Notamacropus eugenii: one gene and its partners. The protein of the gene in region 3 purifies or fractionates together with the protein of the main gene of each other region. This does not show direct contact. Links are inferred from orthologs where the notes say so. Each region holds a gene or a part of one and is shown on either strand. Other genes may lie near its edges. The genes, in order: POLR1E, NFKB1 and NFKBIB.

The links.
Region 1: the proteins of NFKBIB (region 3) and POLR1E purify together in Homo sapiens (affinity purification with mass spectrometry; 3 studies listed by BioGRID and IntAct, counting the BioPlex papers as one, with this or other methods). This does not show direct contact. The link is inferred for Notamacropus eugenii from reciprocal best matches to the Homo sapiens genes NFKBIB and POLR1E.
Region 2: the proteins of NFKBIB (region 3) and NFKB1 purify together in Homo sapiens (affinity purification with mass spectrometry; 7 studies listed by BioGRID and IntAct, counting the BioPlex papers as one, with this or other methods). This does not show direct contact. The link is inferred for Notamacropus eugenii from reciprocal best matches to the Homo sapiens genes NFKBIB and NFKB1.

The regions. Positions count from the first base shown.
Region 1 is NC_092874.1:316,992,078-317,000,149, reverse strand, and holds the start of POLR1E (DNA-directed RNA polymerase I subunit RPA49), read left to right. Parts: upstream 1-5,062; 5' UTR 5,063-5,271; coding exon 5,272-5,335; intron 5,336-6,343; coding exon 6,344-6,447; intron 6,448-8,072. UniProt on the Homo sapiens protein: Component of RNA polymerase I (Pol I), a DNA-dependent RNA polymerase which synthesizes ribosomal RNA precursors using the four ribonucleoside triphosphates as substrates.
Region 2 is NC_092878.1:140,834,945-140,842,243, reverse strand, and holds the start of NFKB1 (nuclear factor NF-kappa-B p105 subunit), read right to left. Parts: upstream 3,073-7,299; 5' UTR 2,574-3,072; intron 1-2,573.
Region 3 is NC_092876.1:32,023,336-32,030,716, forward strand, and holds NFKBIB (NF-kappa-B inhibitor beta), read left to right. Parts: upstream 1-4,370; 5' UTR 4,371-4,508; coding exon 4,509-4,711; intron 4,712-5,111; coding exon 5,112-5,217; intron 5,218-5,333; coding exon 5,334-5,571; intron 5,572-6,008; coding exon 6,009-6,097; intron 6,098-6,529; coding exon 6,530-6,778; intron 6,779-6,963; coding exon 6,964-6,999; 3' UTR 7,000-7,116; downstream 7,117-7,381. Other genes in the region: SIRT2 (NAD-dependent protein deacetylase sirtuin-2), read right to left, coding at 641-700, 811-940, 1,435-1,503, 1,704-1,760, 2,004-2,110, 2,273-2,314, 2,637-2,753, 2,866-2,914 and 2 more. UniProt on the Homo sapiens protein: Inhibits NF-kappa-B by complexing with and trapping it in the cytoplasm.

The DNA of each region.
Region 1 (8,072 bases), on a different chromosome or scaffold from region 3:
TTTCCAGAACTGAGGACCCTGAAGACTCTGGCATAACAACAATCCTTGGTGCTCACCCTCTGGAAGTTTGCACCTTCTGGCAAAATCTCAGATTTATTGTATTGCTTTGACCAGCACCAGGTGTTCTCTGAGTACAGAACAACACCAGACAACTATACATGTTCTGGTCATGAAGCTCTACTATGGATCAAACTTGTCTCATTGTTACCCCTCATGGTCAAGGCTATAGGTCACTGTGTAGCCTTGGGTCCCCCCCACTATGGATGGGGACCTTACACGTATCTAATCTGCCTCTTTGCTAGCAAGCCATTTCCCTCACTTTGAAATTAAACTTCTGTTTGATTCTTGACTTTCGTATCCCTAGCCTACTCTGTTTGGCTCTGGCCAGACACAAATTAGAGGTTGACAAATATAAACTATAACATATCATATCACCACTATCTGATACTCTTAGGCGGTAGAGAAGATTCCTTGGAGAATTGTGAAACTACTAAATAACTTTGTTTCTTTGTCCGCACTAAATCACAGATATTCTGGCCAGCCAGGGCAATGTTGTGGGCATGTCCTCTAAGAAGGATGTACCTGGGGAAATCATTTACCTCTGAGCAACAAAACAGAACACCTAAATCAAGGATTATGAAACTCTAAAACTCATGAAGAAGTTAGAAATATCCATCTCTTAATATCACTATTTGGTGATCAGGGAAAAAAAGCAGAAATCAGAAGAGACAGCCAGATCCAATCTCAAAATCACAGACAAGCATATTCTTTGTTGCATGTTTGTTATACCACCATAACCACTTTTAAGGTCGTTCCTTCTTCCTAGCTCCTGAAATCTAAGGGAGAGCTGGCAATTGGTTGTGTTCCAGCAAAGAAGTCCCTTTTAAAAGGATTTGAAGCTGTTGACTACAAAGGACCTGAGTTCAGCAATCATGAGAACTCGAAGGCAATGAGTCACAACATAATATCAAAAAGAATTTTATGCAAATGATGGAAAGTAATTGAGGCATCAACTGTAGGAAGAGGCCCCAATAAAAGCCTTGAGGAGAGGGCTGGTTAGGTCAGGAACTCAGCATCCGAAGTTTGATCTGGAGTGAGGTTTCATTGAGCCAGGCCGCAGCAATTTTTTTTATATGAAACAGTGTGATTTTGTTCTTTGTTGTTTTTTTCTCTCCCTTTTTACCTAGCAATTATCTTATAATTGGACCTTACACAATAGGTTTAGAACCTGGGAGCTCCACAAAAGAGTTCCACCAATGGGGTTAAGGAAGAAGTCATTAGAGATCCTTTGTCCAACCTGTGTTTCCATAAGAAACTTCTGCCAATTCCCTATCTTCAATGGAAGCCACCTCTCCTCGTGTATCCTTTAGCCCAGAGAGTGAGTAGCTCTTCCTGGCTTATCTCTCAGTCCTCTTTCACATGATCCTCGGTCATAGGAACCAATAAGGAATTAATGCATCAATCTTAAGCAAAGCAAGAGGTCACAGTATATGTCTGTTTCCACAGAACCAGAGCAAATAATCCCTGTGGCATAAAATGTATAAAAATTAAATACAAGATAATTTTGGGAAGGATACCAGCAGTTGGGAGGATCAGAAACGTATAATGTAGAAGGTCCTTCTTGAGTTGATTTTTGAAGGAAACAAGATATTCTTTAAAGTGGAGGTGAGGAAGGAGTATATTCCAGGCCTGGAGGAGGAGTATGACTGAAATGAGGGAGTGTATGAGGAGAGTAATGTATTATAATTCGGGAGAGCTAGGTTGGGGTCAGGTTGTGAAGGGTTTTAAAAGCTAAACAGAAATTTATATCTAATCTCAGAAGTGATAAGAGGTCCCTGAAGTTTGTGGAGTAAAGGAGTAACATGATCAGTTGCCTGCTGGAGGAAAATCACTTTGACAGCTGAACAGAGGCTAGATCAGAGAGGTTAAGAGGCTTGAGGCTGGTAGACCAACATGGAGTTGATTGCAATAGTCCAGTCAAGAGTTGACAAGAATCTGAACCAGTGCCCCAGTAAAAATAAAGTGACAGAAGTGAGAAATGTAGTGAAAGTAAAAACCAGAAATTTTGGCAAATGATTGGATATAAAGTGGAGAGAGTAAGAACTGGAAGACAGCACTGAGGTTGTGACCTTGGGTGACACAATGAATGAATAAGCATTTGTTAAATGCTTACTATGTGTAAAGCACCTCACTAAGTACTGGGGATAGAAACAGAAAAAGGAAGATAGTTCCTGCTCTCAAGGAACTCACATTCTAATGGGGAAGATAATAGTGCCTTTGACAGAAATAAGGATGTTCCGAGAGTAGTGGTTGGGATGGGGGAGGAAGAGAATCAGCTTCATTGGAATTTGTTGAATTTGAGATACCTGCAGGATAGCCAGTTTGAAATTTCCCATAAGTAACCAAAGATGCACAACTTAAAGATCAGAAAAGAGATTAGTGCTGGATATAGATTTAAAAATCATCTGCATAAGTTGAAGCATACCTTTTTCCACTTCATTTGTCTTTTGGTATGGTTTTTTCCCCAATGTGGCTAATGTGGAAATATGTTTTGCATGACTTCACATGTATGATCAATAACATATTGCTTACTTTCTCAAGGGATAGAGAATTCAGAACTCAAAATTTTTAAAAATGAATGTCAAAATTTTTGTGTATGCAATTGAGAAATATTTAATGAAATAAAATGTATTTGTAAAAGAAACATTTAAAATCTTAAATGTAATTGGGAGGCGTAACAAAATAAAAATATATTTTAAAAATAAAAATCATCTGCACAGAAATGATAATTAAATTCATGGCAGTGATGAGGTCACCAAGTGAGAAAGTACAGAGAAAAAAGAGAAAATGCAGGATAGTATCATAGTTAAGGAGTGTTATACAGAAAAGAAAGTGGAGAAGAAATAGTCAAAAAGATAGGAGGAAAAGCAAGAGAGAGTAGTACCAGAAACCTTGAGAGAGGAGAGAGTGTTTACTGGGAGAGGCTGGTGAGTATTGTCAAATACCGTAAGGAAGTTGAGAAGTTTGAGAGAAAGCCACTGGATTTGGACCTTGTAAGAAAAGGGCCCTTGGGGCTTACTGTCAGACACTTTCTTCCTGTGTCCCTCACTCTCCTATCACTCAGAGCCAGGTGTACAAGAAAATATTACTGTTTCAATTAATGTTTTATTTGATTCTTTTAGAGTTCTCTAAATAGAGCATCATACCTCTGCAAAAACTTCTTATTTGTCTAGGTTCCTTCCCTCAATTTCTTTTTCTTGTTTTCACTATAGTTAGCATTTCTGACACTCTATTAAATGACAGTGTTGTCTCTGGACATTTGTGCTTTACCTCTGATCTTATTTGTAAAGGACTATCGAATTTCTTCACTACTTATAATGTTGGCTCTTTGTTTTACATAAGAAACTATTTGCTATCTTAAGGAAAGATACATTTATTTCTGTGATTTTTAATACGTGAGGCTGTTTGTTCTTTAATAGACTTTGAATTTTGTCAAAAACTTTCTCAGAACATATTGGTATAACTAATTTTTATTTATACGAGCTATTATAAACTATGTTATTCCTAATATTGAACCTCCCCTATAGTCATGGTATAAATCTAACTTGGACAAGTATCTAATCTATTTAATATACTATTGTAGCCTCTTTGATATTTTATTTAATATTTTGTATCAATATTTGTTAAGGATATTAGCCTATATCGTTTTCTCTCTTTTTTGTCTCTTCTTGATTTAGGTATCAAGACTATATTAGTAATAATAGAAAAAGTTTGGTAGTAAACGTGATTTCCAATTTTTTTGCAAAAAACATTATATAATACAGGAATTAACTATTCTTTGAATGTTTGATACAATTCACTTGTAAATACATATAGTAACGGGAGGAGTTTCTTGAGTTCATTTATGGCTTGTCCAATTTATTTTTTCTGATGTGTTAAGTTCTTGGTTACCTTCTTTTAACGAGTATTTAAATTTTTTAATAAATGTTTTCTATTTAATTTGTCTGTTGACCCCATAATTGGACAAAATACTTTGATAGCTTCCTTTATCTTAATTTTTTATAAATTCTTTTCATTTTTGATGCTGGCACTTTGTTTTTTCTTTTCAAATGGAACTAGTTAACTTTGTAATTATTATTACAAACAGCTCCTAATTTCATCGATCGGTTTGGTGGTTTTTCTTCTTTCCATGTTGTTCAGCTCTTTGATTTTCAGGATTTGCTTTGTTATTTAGCTCTTTACTTTTCAGTCGTCCCCTTACCAACCTATGCTTTGTCTTTCCTTAATTTTTGGACTTAGATATAAATTTACTATGGAGTCCTGCTTTAGTTACATCCCAAACCTTTTGTTCCTGTCATTCTCTCTGATGAAATTGCCTGTTGTTTCTTGGATTCATTCTCTGATCCACCCGTTCTTAGGAATGATTTAATTTGTTTCTTCCACTCCTCCCACCCCTGTCCTGAGTGATTTGTTTAAGACACTTTGTTTTGTTTTTTCTAACCAGACAAGAAAGTGAAGCTCACGCTGAAAAGTCACCAAGTGGATTTTTGCCCAGCCCCTCCTGAGAGCAGAGGGGGTACGGACCTGCAGTCAGGAGGTCCCCATCACTGTCAGCACCTTGGACAGATGCTGTTTGCCCATTGAGTCCGCAGCCCCCAGTGATCCTCATGGTCCTCATAGGAGCTCCAGCCTTCACCTGGGCTGTCATCAGCTCCAGCTCACGGTGTGTTGGAGGCATGGGGGACTGGTAAGAAGAAGGAGCATTTAGGAAGCACTAGACGCTATTGTTATCATCCACATTATACAGATAGGGAAACTGAGGCAGGTGGAAGCTAACAGACCCGGACCAGGCGTGCGAAGACGCTCGGACCGCCCAGCCACTAGCTTGGACAAGGGGAGGAGCCGACGGCTTCAGGGGGCGGAGCTTAGAGGGCGATGACGAACCCGAGGCTTCAATGGGCGGGGCTTGGGAGGAGGGACTGAACCGGACAGCCGTAGGAAGCTGGATTGAGGAGAGACCAGCCAGTAGGCGTTAGGAGGCGGTGCTTCTGAGGAGACAACCAATCAGCTGAGAAGCGGAGGCTAAATCGACAGGTCTTCAGGAGGCGGGGATTGGGGAAGGCCCGGGTAGGGCGGTTCTTCCGGCCCCGCGGCCCCGCCTCTTCCGGTGGAAGCGGGATTGGGGAGCTTGGTGACTGGAAGCTCCACATGTGAGCTCCGTGGAGCGCGGACCGAGCCGTGGCCGTGGGTTCCGGGGGATCTGCTCCGGCCATGTCTGCGTTTGCAACGTGGCAGTACTGCGGGGAGCCGGGCGAAGGGCAGAAGGCTGCTCTGGGTAAGGCCGGGGGCGGCAGAGCAGCTTTACCCCCTCCCTTAGGGGCTGTGAGGACCGTGCGCGCCCGCGTCGGGACCGGCGCTTGTAGTGCCAGAGGCATGACTTAGACCAGCTCTCGCCCAGCGCCGGCCTCCGTGCTCCCTACATGTCCAGGAGGCGCTGGGTGGTGAGGGCCTCGAGCGCCCGGACAAGCCGCCGAAGGGCCTTCGTGAAAGGGCAGGGCCTCCCGGTGCATGCCGGGCCGGCTCCAGGCGTCCTGAGGATGACCAGCCCACCGGCCCGGACGGCTGTGGAGGGGGTGAGGCTGGTGAGCGGCCGGCCCTCCCCCTCAGAGCAGGGTCAAGGGCGGGTCAGGCCACGAAGGACGAGCACAGCCCACTCCCCACTTCATCGGGCATCAGAAGCTCTCCCGGGGCCCGTCTCAGCGCACCCGGCAGATGCACCAGTGTTTGCGTACGGGCAACTCTCTTCCCTCTCCACCCCCCTTCTCACTGTGGATACACCGTCTCTGTAAAACGCACAGTACACCTACAGCTCCTTCAGGTCGTGCCTTACAGTCTGTCCGCGCGCCGGTCAGGGAGGCTGTCCTCGGGGGTCCGTGTGACCCGATGCCCCCTGCAGTGCCCCCTCCTGCCCTTAGTCCCCATGCGCTGGCTGGCCTTTCTCCTGTCTAGCTGTCCTCCATCAGAGCACTTGTTTGTCCCCAGACTTCCCTCGGTCTCTCCCTCAGGACCCAGGGAAATATTCTAAAATGACTGTGCTTGCCCCTAGTCCTTGGTCTCCATCCTCTTCTCACTCTGTAGCCAAAGCCAGCGTCCTCTCTTGTTACCTCTCACATAGGAAGGGTCTGGTAGGATTCGCTTTCTGTGACGTTCGTAGATACTGTAGCCCAGAACTGGGGATTGAAGGGCTTTCCTGTTTTTATTAATTACATTAATGGAACTCTTTTAGAAGTCCACTCTGCATTCAGCGCCACTTCGTTGATCATTTTCTGTGCATTTATTGCAGTTCAGTTTTCCAATGGGAAACTCCACAACGCTGAGAATGTGAATTTTTCCTTGTACAAGAGCAAAGACACCACCAACCCCAGGAAGAAGTTCAGGAGGATTTTGGTGAGTCCCTCAGTAGTTTTGTCTTTTTTTACAAGGTGGTGTGTGCCTGGAAGCGGGCGCTGACCCAGAATGAGAACAGCTTTGCCTCATGGGGACCGGGCAGAGCTGATTAAAATGCTCCTAAGCTGTTTAAGTCCCAGTCAGGTACATGCTGTGCTTGGGTCTGCTGGGTGCTAGGGGTGCAGAGGTAAAAGTGAAGCAGCCTCTGATTTTAGAAGGCACTAAATACCGTCAGAGGAGACCTCGTGTACGCATATAAGTGTGTTCGTAGTCATTTGGGGGGTGAGAGAGGATGCCCCAACATCTGAAGAGCAAGAAAGGCCCTGTGGAAGTGGCTTCTGAGCTGAGCTTTAAAGAAAACTAGCAGGGGTCTTTACTTGAACTGAAACCTGCCTGTGTCCTGTGGTCCTGGTTCTGCTCAGGGGCCAAGGAGAGTGAATCTTAGTCCCTTTTCACATGAAAGTCCTTCACATATTGAAGACAGCTCTTATTTCCCTGTCTTTCCCCCAATTCAGTATCTTCAGTTCCTTCAGTTGATTTTCATAACTTTGTTCTTTGATCATTGTCTCTGCCCCCCTTCTCAATGTACTTTCGTTTGTCAGTGTCCCTCATACAGTGTTTGCCTGGAACTGAATGAAGTTAAATTCCAAACATGCTCTGATCAATACAGACTATAGTGAGATTATTAACTTCTGTTAATACAGTCTAAGATCCTTTTATTGTAACCATGTCATATGTTATTGACATAATTGAGGTTGTAGTCAGCAGATGCCTCGTTCGTAGAAATTGTTATTTATCCACAGCTCTCCAATCCTGTACTACAGGATTTTTTAAAAATTTTACATTCATCCCCAGATATTTTAAAAATAAATATTTTGTTGATGCTTTTGATATGTTTCACTTTTCAATGATTTATCTTTCCACTAACAAGTATAGTTAAACAAATCAGATCAACAAATCAGGCACACACTATGGAAAAAGTGCAGCATTTTAAAAGCCTTGGGTTCACATTCCAGCCCTGTCACTTATTACCACTATGATTCTGGGCAAGTCCACCTCTCTATGAAATGAGAGGGTTGGATGAAGCAGTTCCCTTCCAGTTCTCAGTCCTTGATTACAGACGCCTGGTTCTGCATCCAGATCTGTAGCCCATCCCCTCTCTGCTACGAGGAAGAAGAGTTCTGATGTCTTTAGGGGTGCTTTCCTTTATGTTACCGTGGTCATCATCTAAATTGTTCTCTTGGCTTTCTTCAAGTTATAGGGTCATAGATTTAGACCCATAAGAAAACCTTAACAGCCATCATGTTTAACCCCCTTGTGCAGATAAGGAAACTGAGGTATAAAGAGGGTAGGTAGAGTCAGATAGAATAAGTGTCTAAGGTGGGATTTGAACCCGCCTTTCTTAACTGAGTTCGTTGTCCTATCCACTGTTCCATGCTGTTTTCCCAAGTTCCTCTGACTTCTTCAAAATCATTATTTCTTACAGCACACTATTATTCCATTACATTCATATACACTTTGTTCAGTCACTCTCTTTATGTAGGTGTCTACTCTGTTTCCGTTTTTAGCACAAAAAGATTGCTGCAAATAGCTAATACACAGAAGTATGGGAAGATTGGTATCAA
Region 2 (7,299 bases), on a different chromosome or scaffold from region 3:
CTATTTTGTAAAAGTGCTCCAATATTTAGTACCTGGATCTGAAAAATAAAGGCTGCTTTGGCTTGTGGTAAATACTTGGGCAGAGTAATTCACATGTAAAAAGTGATTTAAAAAACAAAACAGATATTTAAAAAAACAAAAGATGAAAGTTTTGGAAGTAACCTTAACAATACAGAAGTAGAGAAAACAATCAGAGAAGAGTAAAACCTCAGTTCTAGCTCTGCCTTTCATTTGCCATGAGCTTAGACAAATCACAACCTACGTGGACCTCACTTTTCTCATCTGTAAAATGAGAGGGTTAGACGATATGATTTCTAAGGTCCCTTCCAGCTATAACATCTGTGATTTCTGTCTCCAAAAATGATTCTGAGGATAAAAAACATTTTTAAAAGACGTTACCAAAGATTTTTGCTAAGAACTCAGAACTCACATTATTTTAGTCACGATTTAAATAAATGCTTTTTCATTCATTCATTGCATTTGTATACTTGTTGAAGGTAGACCTTCTTTCATATGAAACTGTCTTTCTGACTGAAGCTCTCCATAGTTCAGGTGGACATTTTGCCAAATAAATTTGAGTTGAAGGTCTATCAATATTGAGTAGATAATTATAAATAAAATCTATTTGACTGAGCATTTCAAGAAAAGTCTCTTCCCAGTACATACGTTCTTTGCATTTCAGCAATTCAGTTGTATGTACTCATGAAAAACAAACATAACATATAATCAATTTCTCTTCCAAAATTCTTTCTTTCCAAACACACTAGGCTCAAGTTAATTATTCAACTCTATATCAGAGTACATATAGAGTAGACATTATAGAGAAGACAGTTTAAACAATTCAACTGGTCTGGAATTGGGCAGCTACCTCATCATTTACCACCAAGCTGTTCTCCTGGACTTCATCATCATTTCCAGGAACTCATTTTCAGGAAAGATGGAATCAACTCTGAAGCTCAAGTCTTCTGAAATAACCCCAAGTCCAGGAGGGGTTCTAACTGCTGAAGGTAGAGGACGGACATAGAAGACCTCCTCCCAGATCCTCCCCCACTGCCCAGGGCACCACCATGCTTCAGAACGCCCTGCCTCACCATACCCTCCAATTTTCAGCTTCTATTTAAGTATTATTTTCTCCATTATATTGTGAGCTCCTTGAAGGGAATGACTATCTTTCTGTCTTAAGAGGCTGACATATGCGGTAGGTACTTTAAAAATAACTAACTTCAAATAACAGGATGTGAAGAATTGTAAAATTAAGTCTTAACAACATACTTCAGCTGAGTCCTTGCATTCTGATCAAGTTTTCATTCTAAAGGACAAACAGGCAAACAACAGTGTCTTACTCAGGAAGTTCAGTAACTACCAAAAGTAACAATGTTACACCAACTGGGAGTACCTTGCTTCCCAAACAGTGGGGAAGAGCAGGCTTCTGAGAAGATCACTGGCTTATTCTAATATAGTAAATGATTCAACTGCCACCTTCATGTTATATTCCTAGACTTACCATAGGAAATAGACCAAGATTTGGAATCAGCTAATTTGATATAAATCCATTAATTGAACTTAAGCCCTAAACTGGTAGTTTCTATTGAACCTTCAAGATACTCTAAAAACAAACGAACAACTAGATTTGATATCCAGGCTATTTCAAATGTGAAACAGAACACTCAGAGTGCAAATTAATTTCACTATAAAAAGATCATACTTGAGAGACGAGTCTTAAACCTTTAATAACTTAAACTATCGTTATGCAGCGTTAGCTTAAATTATGGTTATTAAAAGTTATAACTGCACTCCGATTTTGGGGACACCCTGCATATATGCCAGCACCACCATGATTTTTTTGGATGACGAACTAACCATCGGACTCAGCACTTGATTTAGAGAGTTTACTAAGAACCCCCACTCCCTCCTTTTTTTCAGAATGCCTTTCGGGGGGTCTTGGAATGCCCCTATGGACTTAATATTTCTGAAAAGATAACCAGAGATCCCGATCAAGAATGGGCCCATTTTCAGTTAGAGGATGGCAGATAGTTAAGACTTGGAAACTAGAGGGTTTTCAAATAAAGAAAATCGGTAGCCTTCATTTCGTAAAACGTCCTTGGATAGAAATCAGATTCAGCACTTCACTCAAAATACCCTCCCCCCCCATACACACAAACGTACGCCCTTAGTCATTCCCTTCCCTCCAGACTAAACCTCCCCAAAAGAAAAATTAAGTCTCCTCAGCAGTCCAAGACGCCCAGATATTTTCATCTTTTCGAAAGGTTGGAGGAGGTGAAATGGGTTGGGGGAAAAAATACAATTGACCAAACCACATGGCCCCGGGCTCCCCTGAGCCGATTTGCACCACCCCCAGTCCCTGACTGCCTTTTTCCTCCTCTTTCACCAATCCCTTGCACCTCGCAACTGGTGTCAACCTCCTCCAGCGGGTCGGGCAGGAATGAGGAAGTCTAGACTCGGGGGGATGGCGGGGTGGGGATCGGCCAGTGTGGGGGGACTCGCACTTACTTGTCTGCCCCTTCCCTCCAGGAAGAGCCTCCCCGCTCCCTCGGCCCCAACTTTGGTCTTACCCTTTGGGGGAGCTGCTGTCCAGGGCCTCCCAGCTCGTCCTGGCTCCCCGCTCGGATCCGGTGAGCAGCAGTGGGGGGCTGGCCGGAGGAGGCAGAGGAGGCAGAGGAGGCGGCGGGCTGCGCGCGTGGGTCAGCCCCGCGGAGCCTAGCAGCGGGCAGCACAGCGCATGGCCCGCAGCCCGGGCCGGGGAGGCTAGGGGTGCCGCAACCCGAGCGCCCTGGCCCGTCCCGGCTCGCTCACTCGTGCGCTGTCCCCGGAGCAGCTCGGGCGGCCGACTGGACGGCGGGCGGGCGGGACCGAGCGACGGGAAGGGGAAAGGGGGAAGCTGTCAGCGCGTCCCCTGGCCCTCGGGTGGCGAAACCTCCCCTTCCTGCTCGCAGCTGCCGGGCGCACTTCTCTCTCTTTCTCTCGTTCACTCTCTCACTTCCTGGCTGGAAATTCCCACTGACGTTGAGCCGGAGAGAGCGAGCAAGGCCAGACGCGTACACACACTCACACACTTGCACACACACTCCCAGTCCGGGGGCGGGGGAAGCCCGATCTCCTGGGGGGCAGGGCTGGAGACTGGGGACCGGGGTCGCCTCGGCGCCCCTCTCCGGCCTCCGCTCCTACACCCCTTGCCCGGAGCGCAACGTCAGGGACGGGAGGAGGGACTTGGACTCGGCGGCGCGCGCCTTGTTCCGATCCCTTGGCCTCGTCTGCTGGAGCCGGCGCTTGGAGGCCCCGGGCCAGCTGCGGGGCTGGGATCCCGCGGCTCAGGCTGCGGTACCTGGGCGGGGTCCGCTGAGCACCTGCTGGGAGACCCCGGGGATCGAGGAAGGGTCCCCCACGCTTACGTTATTACTGTGGTTGTGCGCGGTGGCTGAGCAAGCCTGACTCGATTTCAAATCGTCCCCAAGTCTGCCTCAGTTTCTACATCTGTAACAATAGCGCCTACCTGCAACGGTGCTTGTTAGGATCAAATAATATATGTGTAAAGCGTTTTATTAACTGTAAAGCCCTATATAAACATAAAATGACATAGAAATATAAAATTAAATATAAAACTATTATTTTTAATAATAATTCACTTTATAACAAATAGAGGATTTGAATCTTCTGTTTGTGACCTCTCCCTCAAAAAAGATTCTTCACCTTAAATTCTGTCTGTAATGATTCCCCTATTGGGATGTTTATTAAAAGCATGTATTAAAAACCTCAACCTAGGGCTTTGACACGCTGCTTTCCTACACAAACATTGCCTCATTCAAGCCTGAAGCCCCAGGAGGTGATGTGAATAGTGTTTCTCCTACTATACAGATAAGCAAACTGAGGCTCAGAGAGATAGTTTCTTGCCCAAAGTCTCGTAAGTGGTAAGCATTTTGGGTTCCAAACCCAGTTCTATCACCACTCTACCATTATGCCTTCTCAATAGTCACAGCGTGTTAGATGACCAGCCCAGACCTCCTTTTTCTGAGGATGTGTAGGACTCTTGATACCTGAAAGGGGCTGCAGAAGCAGCAGAGTACAATACCTTTATACAATACCTGGTGCTGTGAAGATCCAATGAAATTATGATGTAATATGAGGCTTAAGTTTTATGTATAAATGTGATTTGCCATTTAGTCCCCGGAAGGTGCCATTTGCCTAGTGTCACACAAATAGCATAAGTAATAAAAGGGGATTCGAACCCAGGTCTTCCTATCCGGAGCAAGTGATCTTTGAGATTCTTCGGTGGCCTCTTTTGCAAATGATCAGACGCATTATGCTATATAACCTAAATATACCTGCCATGCATTTCTTCAATATCCTTTGCATGAACTCATATTTTAGAGAGGCAGTATGCTTCATGTGTACTACCAAATGTTGGGACTTAGCTAGAGGAGGCCTGAAATACTTCGGGTGGTCCTTCTGCAGGGGGGCCTTTGGCAAAGCCTGGGAAAAAGTCAGTCCAGGTGAGATGTGGATAGTGGATGGGGAGATCACAGATTCATTGACGAATAATAGCCTAACTCTTGGTGGAGTTGTGAACTGATCCAGCCATTCTGGACAACAGACCAAAAAGTTATAAAACTATGTCTATCCTTTGATCAAGCAATACCCCTACTGGGTCTGTATCCTGAAGAGATCAAAGAAAAAGGAAAAGGACCTTTATGGACAAAATTATTTATAGCAGCTCTTATGTGGTGGCCGAGAAGTGGAAACTGAAGTGATGCCCATCAGTTGGGGAATGGCTGAACAAGTTGTGGTATGATTGTGATAAAATACTATTATACTATGAGAAATGAAGAGCAGGATTATTTCAGAAAAATCTGAAAGAGGTATATGAACTGATGCAAAGTGAAGTGAACAGAACTAGGAGAAAATCATACATGGTAACAACAGTATTGTATGATGATCAACTCTGAATGACTTAGCTATCCTCAGCAATGCAATGATCCAAGACAATTCTGAAGGACTTAGGACAAAAAATGCTATCCACCTCCAGAGAAAGAGCTACTGGAGTTCGAATACAGATCAAAGCACACTTTTTTAAAAAACTTGAGTTTTAAAATTTTTTAAGACTTAGGTTTTTTCCTTGCCTTCTTTGGAACATAGCTAATATGGAAATATATTTTGCATGACTGCACATGTATAATCTATAGTAAATTGCTTGCTTTCTAAAGGAGGAGGGAAAGGAGGGAGAGAAAGAATTTTTAACTCAATTTTTTAAAATGAATATTAAAAATTATTTTTATCTGTAATTCAAAATAAAACAAAAGAACTATAATTGTCATCATCCCTAGAAAAGCTATCCTAGCAAGAAACAGAGATCATAGATTTTTTTTTTCCTAACCAGGCTTCTAGAATTCATACAAGAAGTCTTCCCGCTTCCCTCTTAATGCTACCTTCACCCTTGCTCCACTCCACCAACACAGAAAGAAGAGTTCATTTGGTACCATGTCTTTTTAACCAATCTAGTCATCATAAGGCAATGATGACCAAGATCTAAATGACTGGACTGGTAGCAGTTCCCTCTTGTGGAAAGATCTTGGCAAAGAGGCCTGGAAATTAAGGACTTCTTGGGATTTAATTCTGACTCTCATTTTCTGATTCCCACTCTAACAAAGTGATTAGCTCTCTGTGACTCCTGAATCTCAAATACACCCAGGACTGCTTCTGATTGTTACAGCTGAAGGAGGGGGCTGGAAGATGAAGCTTCCCAAAACAGAACATTTCATGGAAAAGTGAGGGAAGGGAGTTGAAGGTAAGAGGAGGTTTTATGGCAGCTGAGGGAAAAGATAAGTTTAGTTTATTTGTGTTTGAGGGATGAATGTAACCGCACAAGGACCAAACATTTAAATTTTATAAATGTGTTGTCCCACTTTTGAGTTCTATAAAGTTTATGACTCAAATGTTATTTCCTCTACAAAGTTTTCTTTGATTCCACCAAGTCAGTAAGGACTATTCCTCATTTCCAGGACTTTACCAATCACTTTGTTTTACACAAATTTGATGCCCTTGTTACTTATTGTTTTGTATTATACCTATCTGTGTACTAGTCATGCCTCCCTACCAAAACTGTGGATTTCATGAGAACAAGGACTGTGTCTTATCTAAACTGTATCTCCTTCATTGCCCAGTGTGGGGCTTTTAAACTTGTTGCATTGAAGAACTCTACTCATTTTATTCTCAGGAAAAGTTCTACTTCTAAGGAAATTGCTTAATATTTGTGTAAATCCCCATGGGAGAAAATAACCTTCTCTTATGGGTTGATAGAAAGCATGTTGTTATTAATATATTCATGAAGTCTTTTTTCTATCATAAGCTTACTCATGAAATGTCACCCTTCTGGGGTTAGGGAGGGGAGAGGTGGGAAGGGCACCAAAAGATGAGTCATGAAAAAGAACCTGGGGAAGTAGGTGGGGCTTATAGATGACAGAAGGTGGATTTAGTCCTTGGATTCAAAGTATAGTAGCCACTTTTTCTGTACTAAGGTGTTTAGAGCATGTTGCATCCTTCAGAACAGGAACAGACTTGGTTAGAACTTTAAGATTGGGAAGAGGTAGAGGAGTCTGTTTTTAATATCAACATGACCCAAACTGAACTCTTTACCTTTTCCCAACTACTCCTCCCAGTCCCTCAGGCTCACAGCCTAGGGGTATAATCCCTCACTCTTCGCTCTCTCTCATCCCCTCCCCCCCGCTATATCAAATCGGTTCTCGAGTCCTTTCAATTTTCCCATCTCTCATATATGTCCCCTTTCTCTCTTCTGATCACTCTGGTGTAGGCTTTTTTCAGCCCACACCCAGACCTGTAAGAGCCTGCTGGTTGGTCTCTCATCAGTACAGTCCATCCTCCACTTAGCTGTCAAACTATCCTAAAGAGTAGGTCTGACCACATCCCACCCCTTTCAATAAATAACAGTGACCCCCTGTCAAATAGAAGAAGCCCTGTTTGGCATTCAGATCCCTTCACCACCTCTTGCCTCTCTAGTCTTCTTACAAGCTGATTCTCACTCACATAATCTTTGATCCAGTGACACTGACCACCTTGCTCTTCCATGAGCAAGGCACTCCATCTCTCAACTCTATGTATTTCACTGGTTATCTTCTGTCCGGGACTCTGTCCCTCGTCCCCTCTTGCCTCCTGGCTTCCTTCAAGTCTCAGCTATAAAAACACTTTCTCCAAGAAGCCTTTCTAGATTCCCCTTAATTCTAGTGCCTATCACCTATTTGAGTATCTCTAATTTATCCTGTATATATC
Region 3 (7,381 bases):
AGAGACAGATGGAGGAGAGACAGATGGAGGAGAGACAGACGGAGGAGAGACAGACGGAGGAGAGAGAGAGATGGAGGAGAGACCGAGAGACAGAAACGGAGGAGAGACAGACAGAGGAGAGACAGACGGAGGAGAGACAGAGATGGAGAGACAGAGACAGAGGAGAGACAGATGGAGGAGAGACAGAGATGGAGAGACAGAGACAGAGGAGAGACAGATGGAGGAGAGACAGACAGAGGAGAGACAGATGGAAGAGAGAGAGATGGAGGAGAGACAGAGACAGAGAGAGACAGATGGAGGAGAGACAGACAGAGGAGAGAGAGATGGAGGACAGACAGATGGAGGAGAGACAGAGATGGAAAGACAGAGACAGAAGGACAAGGAGAGGAAGATGGGAGAGAGGGGAGGTACAGACAGAGAGACAAAGACAGAAAGAGAAAGAACCTAAGATTAGGGAGACAGGGGAGGGGGTTGGTCCCCAGGTGCCAGAAGGAGAGCAAGGGGATGACAGCCAGGGGCTCCTGAGCCCTGACCAGTCAAGAGCTCTCGAACTTGATCTAGGGAGGGAAGGGATATTTTTGCTGTTTCCCGTGACTGTTGACCTCCTTCAAGGCCCCCTCTTCCCTTTCCCATGGTTCACCTGGTTTCACGAGACTCTGGCATTTGTCACACTTGGGGGTCACCTCTGAGAAGATCTTATCTGGGGGAGAAAACATGAGGTAAGGAATGATGGGATTGGAGGCCAGGGGAGGAGAGTAGCATTCCCTTCCTCAGGGCCCCTCCCCCTGCCCTCAGGGACCCAAGCCTCACCTTTCATCCAGCCCAGGTCATACTCTTTGTGGCAGTGGGAGCTGATACAGTGAGAGGTATAGAATGTTCCATGGGCTTCAACCAGGTCCTCTGGTTCCAGCCCAGCCACCCGCTCCAGTGTGTCGATGTTCTGGGGGAGAGGGAAGAGGAAGCAGTCAGTTAGAGCGTCTCCTCCTTATCCCCCTACTAGACTTGAAACTCCCTGAGGGGAGGGGCTCTGAAATTGGAACTGTGCATTTGCCCAGGTGTGTAACCCAGCTTTCCGCCACAGCGTCTGAAAATTATTTATTGAAATTAAACTAAATCGAAAGTTCACATCAGAATGGATGGAAAGAAAATCTGACTAGGGTAAGAAAGAATTGGCTAGTCATCAATTTAACGTTCGAACACAGAGATATCATAGAACATGTTTGTTCTTTCCAAAAATAAAACTCAAAAGTATTTATAAAGGACAAATGAAGTCAAATGATGCACTGTGGTTATTTTGGGGAAGAATTATATTTTTGGTGCCACTGCCCATCTGGGGGGCTGCCCACTGGGTCTGGCAAGGCAGACTTGCCTCTGTAGGACACAGCCTGTAGAGTGTGGGCATTTCATCCTCCCCCCTTCCCTGGCTGCCCTCACCTGGGTATAGCAGCGAAGCAGTAGGCCCTTCTCCTTGAGCAGGCGCATGAAGTAATGACACACGGTGGGCTACAGAGGGGTGGAGGGGAGTGAGGGCCAAGGGGTACACACACATTGTCTTTGATGTGGTTAGACAACTGGGACTTTCCCAGTTTCTTCTCCCACCCATTGTGGGGAGCAGCCCACCCCCCCCAAGCCCAGATGGGGAAGCCCTGACTCTGTCCCCCAATTGTGTACCTTTCCTTTCCTTTTCCTCTGATTAAGCTCACCTTAAATTGCCCTGGGTACAGCTCCCGGGCCAGAGCAAAGAAGGGCTCAGGGTGTTTCTGGGGAAAACAGACAAAGACAGATGAAGATACGTGAACCCTTCACTCCTTACAATCCCCTACCCAGGATCAGCAGCCCAGATTTGGGGGGCCCACTAGTGATATTTGATAAGATGAAGGATTTAGCTGCAGGATCTGCCCTGCTAGTGTTTGAAAGCATGAAGGCTCAGGAAAGGGAAGGGTTCTCCCTCCAAGGAGTCTGTGAAAACTTGAAAAGTGGGGTGTTCTTAATGACAGTTTTACCTTAAAGTAGCTGATCTCAAAGATGGCTTCAGGGTAGGGAAGGTTGTACTTCTCCAAGTTGGCATAGAGGCCGGTGGACGGGGAGCGGAAGTCAGGGATGCCAGCAGCTGGGGACAAGGGTAATAGAAGAGGCATCCCTGGGGGAGGCCACCTCACTGGTGAGAGGGGCCTTATCCCAACCCCTAGGTTAGCTCCTTTGGGGATCTGGCCCCCCTTCTCCATTCTGGGGGGAGTTTGGAACCTGAGGGCACAGGGAAGCAGCTACTTACATGTAGAGATCCCTGCCCCTACCATGCAGATGATATTCTGACCTGGAAGAGAAAAAAGGTGAGGGGAGAGACCTCAAGACCAGAGCAGTTTGGGGTTGTTTCTCTAGTCTCATTCCCTGGAAGGACAACTTCCCTACCCGGACTGCTTTGGCCCTGTGGAATCCTAAGGTGAGTCCCACCCTTTAGTCCTGAGTTCTCACCTGGTCTGGATGTGTCTCACTGGGTTTCCTGAGGAATGGGTAAGGGGAGGGAGAGAAGTGGTCCCAACCCGGGACATGGGAGCTGAGGTTGGGTGGATGGGGTAAGGCACATCCTGTAGACAACCTGAGCTAAGAAAAGGAGATGGGGAGAAGCAAGAACTCACATTGGTCACTCTGGATGAACTTGGTCACCCCTTCCAAGGAAAGTTCATCCAACAACTTTTCTCGCTTCCCGCTGCCCAGGCCCAGGGTTCGGGAGAAGAGATTCCGTAAAAAGTCCACTGTGGGGCAGACCAGAGGATGATGTTATGCAGGAAGAGGGCAGGCACTGGTCCCAACTAGGCTTCAGCCAGTCTTGTCCCCCCCCCCAGTTCACCACCCAGGACAACTTACTCTCTGTCTCTCCAGATGCAGCTCCACTCTCAGTTTCTGAATCTGAGTCCTGGGAGAAAACGGCCAGAGAGGGAGGAGGGTCAAGGGGGGCTCCAGAGGGTTGGCGCTTGGGGAGGACGATCACGGGAGGAGGGTTGGGAAAGGGGAGTCAGTGGAAAGAGGGTCAGAGGGAAGGTGGGTCATTAGAAAGGAGAGCCAGAGAGGGAAGCGGAGGGGCACAGTTTGGGGAAAGGAGGTCAAAGGAGGGAAGGGTAGGTGGGGAAGGAGGGGGTTAGGGTCCTCGGAATGGGGGATGGGCGGGCGGATCTGCTGTTTCAGGGCTGGGGGCGGGGTGAATAAGCCCTGTGGATCTGGGACACGGGGCGACCCACTCCCTGGGGGAAAGCCGGGGAGAGCCATGAGTGATGGGAGCAGGCGGGGGAGGCGCGGATCCTCTCACGGGCCAATCATAGACGTCCTCTCCCTCCCCTAGCGGCCAATCACAGACCTCGTCCCCTCCCCGGCCAGCCAATCACGAACGTCCAAGGGCGCCCCCTCTCACCTGAGCATCCTGCACCTTCCCTGCCTCGTCCTGAGGGGGACCGGGGGCTAGGGAAGGGGGGTAGGGAGACAGGGTTACATTGGAGGGGGGGTGGGAGGCCGTTAGCGTGGGGGCGGCGGCGGGAGCGAGAAGCGGGGAGGGGGACCCCAACTGGCCACGGGCAGGGGTGCAGAGGGGCCCTTAGCAACCAGGTACCAGGCTTCCCAGAGGTCACGGTCCTTGGTAACCAGATCCACTCCACCACATACCCCGCAGCAGCCGCGGCACCTGTTTCCTTCCACCCTAAAACGAGGCCCTTAGGTACTGGACACCCCAGGAATTAGGACCCCCCATCTTGGCTCCCAACCAGCCTTAGCCGGCGCTGCGGAGACTGGGGCCCCCAGGGCCCAACCCATTCTCCTCCCCGCAACCCTAGATCGGGGCCCCACGCGGTGGTTTCCGGGTGGCGAGTCCCCATAGCCGTTCGCCCAGAGGGCCTGGTCCTAGGCCCGGCCCAAGAGCCCACCCGTGCCCCGACTCACGGTCCGCCTCGGCCATGGGCCCGGCCCCGGGGATGGGTTCAGCAGCGTGGGGGGCGGGCAGGGGCCCTCGGGGCTGTCACCGACTGCTCCGTCCCGTGACGGCGCAGGACACGGGCGGGGGCGGGGGCAGGCAGGGCGGGCTATGGACTACAATTCCCAGAAGAGCATGTGGCCATCGCGGGAATCCCACAATGCCCCGCGCCGTCTTTCCGCCGTGTTGAAGGCCGGCGTGACCCACCGCTCACAGAGAAACCACGATTCCCAGTGTGCCTGGCGCCGGAAGCCGTCCGGGTAAAGCGGGACTGAGGGCGGATACACGAGCCGAGCCGACCAAATGCGTCTATTGCCTCTATTGGACAACTTGGTGCGAGGGGCGGAGCCCTGCCGGAAAGGTTGCGCGATCTTATTGGCAGTCATCTCTAAAAAGGGCGGTGCGACCCTCCCTGATTGGTCGAAGCGCTGAGCGAGTTGGGGAGCAGGGGGAATTCCCCGGGTCCGCGGAATCCCCGGGCCGGCGGCTGTGGCGACCAAGACTCTGGATGGACCGGGGGGGCCCGGGACGGGAGGGCTCTGCGTAGGCCATGGCGGCCCCGGCGGGGCCCGTGAAGTCCGGGGACAGCGGGCTCGCGGAGGAGTGGTGCGACAGCGGGCTCGGGTCTCTAGGGCCCGATGGGCTCGGGCCCCCGGCGGACGGGCCGCGGGACAGGACGGAGGAGGACGAGGACGAAGAGCCAGCTAGCTGGGCGCCCGAGGTGTTCGGCTACGTGACGGACGACGGGGACACGTAAGGGGCCGGCCCGCTGCCCCTGCCCCTGCCCCCAAGGCTCTCCCCTTCCCAGGGTCGTGGAAAGGTGGAGGGGGGATCCCCGCCCCTTACCGGAGGGGAAACCGAGGGAGGGAGGGGAGGTGTGAAGGCAGGGCTAGGAGGCCCCGGGGGTCCTCAGGCCATCACCTGGGACAGGGGACGTTGAGTTATGGCTTGGATTAGTTTTCCTGCTCCTACATTCTGTCCCTCTCCAAACCTCCTGGCCTCTGACCCCTGACCCCGCCTGACCCCCTTCTTTTCCCTTTGAACGGTGACTCTTTTAGGGAGCTTAATTTCCTTCTCCCCTGCTGCCCCGCAACGGGGCCTCGAAGGTGGCCCGACCCCCACCTCCCTGACCCTCTGTGTCCCCCCTGCCCAGGGCCTTGCACTTGGCAGTGATTCACCAGCACGAAGCCTTCCTGGACTTCCTGCTTCACTTCACGGCAGGTACTGAATACCTGGATCTCCAGAATGACCTGGGCCAGGTGAGGTCCTTCCCCTACCTGTGGATGGGGCCGGCAGGGCCAGGAAGAGGCCCTCCCAACCCCCCACCCCCAGGACTGACTGGCTTCTGCTTGCACTTGTGTTCCTCTGTCCACAGACGGCTCTGCACATAGCGGCCATTCTGGGGGAGGCAGCCCTCACTCAGAAGCTGCGGGCCGCAGGGGCCGGGCTCTGTGTGGCAGAGCGAGGTGGGCACACGCCCCTGCACCTGGCCTGCAGGGCTGGGGCTCATGCCTGTGCCCGGGCCCTTTTGGGGCCCCTTGAGGGCCAGACAGCCCAGGAGGAGGAGGAGGAGCAGGAGAGACGGGAGCAGCTGGAGTGCACCAACTACCAGGGTATGGCCCAGCCAATGCTTCTCCCCACTGTCATGGACGCAGCCTGATTCCTGGGGGCTGGAAGCATCTCCCAACAAGGGGGATGCAAACAGTAGCCATGGCTACGTGGACATAGGAGTGACTCTGCCTCTGGCACTGTGCCAAGGGCTTTCCCAGCATTATCTGATTTGATCTTCCCAACAACCCAGTGGAGTAGGTGTCATCACTTTCCCCTGCTTTCCCCGTTTTACAGATGAGACAAATGAGTTCAGGAACTAGCCCAGGGACAGTCCACACAGGCAAGTGAGTGTCTGAGGCTGGATTTGAACTTAGGGCCAGATCCCCACTAAATGCATATTCTCCCATTTCCTTTGAGTATGCTCATTTGCCTTAAATGCTTTCTAAATGTATTCCCTAAAGGCCTTCTAAATCTTTGTTTCTCTAAAATAACTCCACAGGCCACACTCCGCTCCATGTGGCTGTGATCCACAGGGACACAGAGATGGTTCAGCTGCTCCGGGAAGCAGGGGCAGATCTCAACAAACCAGTAAGGATACAGAACCCTGTCTGCCCTCAACTCCCAGGCCCTCCTCCCTTTTCCCATGCTGCTGTTCCCCTCCTTCCATGTATCTGTTCTGTGAGATTCTTTTCCGCACCCCCAGCTCCTTTCTCTAGATTGGGGGAGTCTAAATGAGGGAGATTACTGCTTTCCTCTGAGAGGGAGCTATAAAACAGACATCGACCCACAGTGGGCAGAGGGGCTTCTTTGAGACAAGCGGGGTCCCCTTCAGATCATACATGGTCTGAAAAACAAGGTGAGTTAGGCATGAAGATACCAGGTCCTTCAAATGGGGGACAGGCCTAACCTCTAGGAAGAGACTGTTGTCAGCAGTAGTGACTAGGGATAGATGAGGGGGTGGGGGCTGGGGCTCCAGAAAGGGGGGACATGTCCTTTACATGCACTCTCTTTCCCAATCAGGAGCCCACGTGTGGGCGGAGTCCCCTCCACCTGGCTGTGGAGGCAGAGGCAGCTGAGGTCCTGGAGCTACTCTTGGATGGCGGCGCAGACCCCAAGGCCCAAATGTATGGAGGCCGTACCCCGCTGGGTAGTGCCACGCTGAGGTCAGACCCCCTCCTCGCCCGTCTCCTGCGTGCTCATGGAGCCCCGGAACCTGAGTCTGAGGAAGAGGAAGACTCCAGCCCGAGAGGCAGCGATACTGATGAAGGTGTAAGTGACCTGGGGGAGTTCAGCCAGTGAGAAACTTGGATGAATGGGATGGAAGAAGAGAGAGCACTGGGGAAGGGTGGTCTGGTAACTGATCGTTCCAGAAGGGGAGGGTTGATGGGAGATGGGGAACTTGGGGGGAGGCCCAGGATGAAGGAGAATCAATTCCTGACTCCACTATCCTCTAGGATGAGTATGATGACATCGTGGTCCACGGAAGCTGAAGTGGAAACTGAGGCACACCTTCCTCACCTGCTGGCTATCTCTAGCCAATTTCTTTGCTTTTTTTTTTTTTTTTTTGTAGAAAAGCTTTAATTTCAATAAAACTCTCATTCCCCTGGCTGGAGTGTCCAGGGATCTGTTGGGGCCAGAGCATCTGAATTCAGAAACAGACCAATGGGAGGAAAGGCATGCTTTTATCTGTGCTTTATTTACGTTGGGGGAGAGGGGAGCAGGTGGGGCAGAAATCTCTGACCCCCCCCCCAGTCTGTTTTCTTGGTGACCCTCTCTTGCTCCCTCCCCCCACCACCTGGAGAGGGGCTGATCAAGAAGGGCAGGAACCAGTCCGTAGCCCAGTTTTCTGAGATGAGCGAGGGTGGGTGGGGC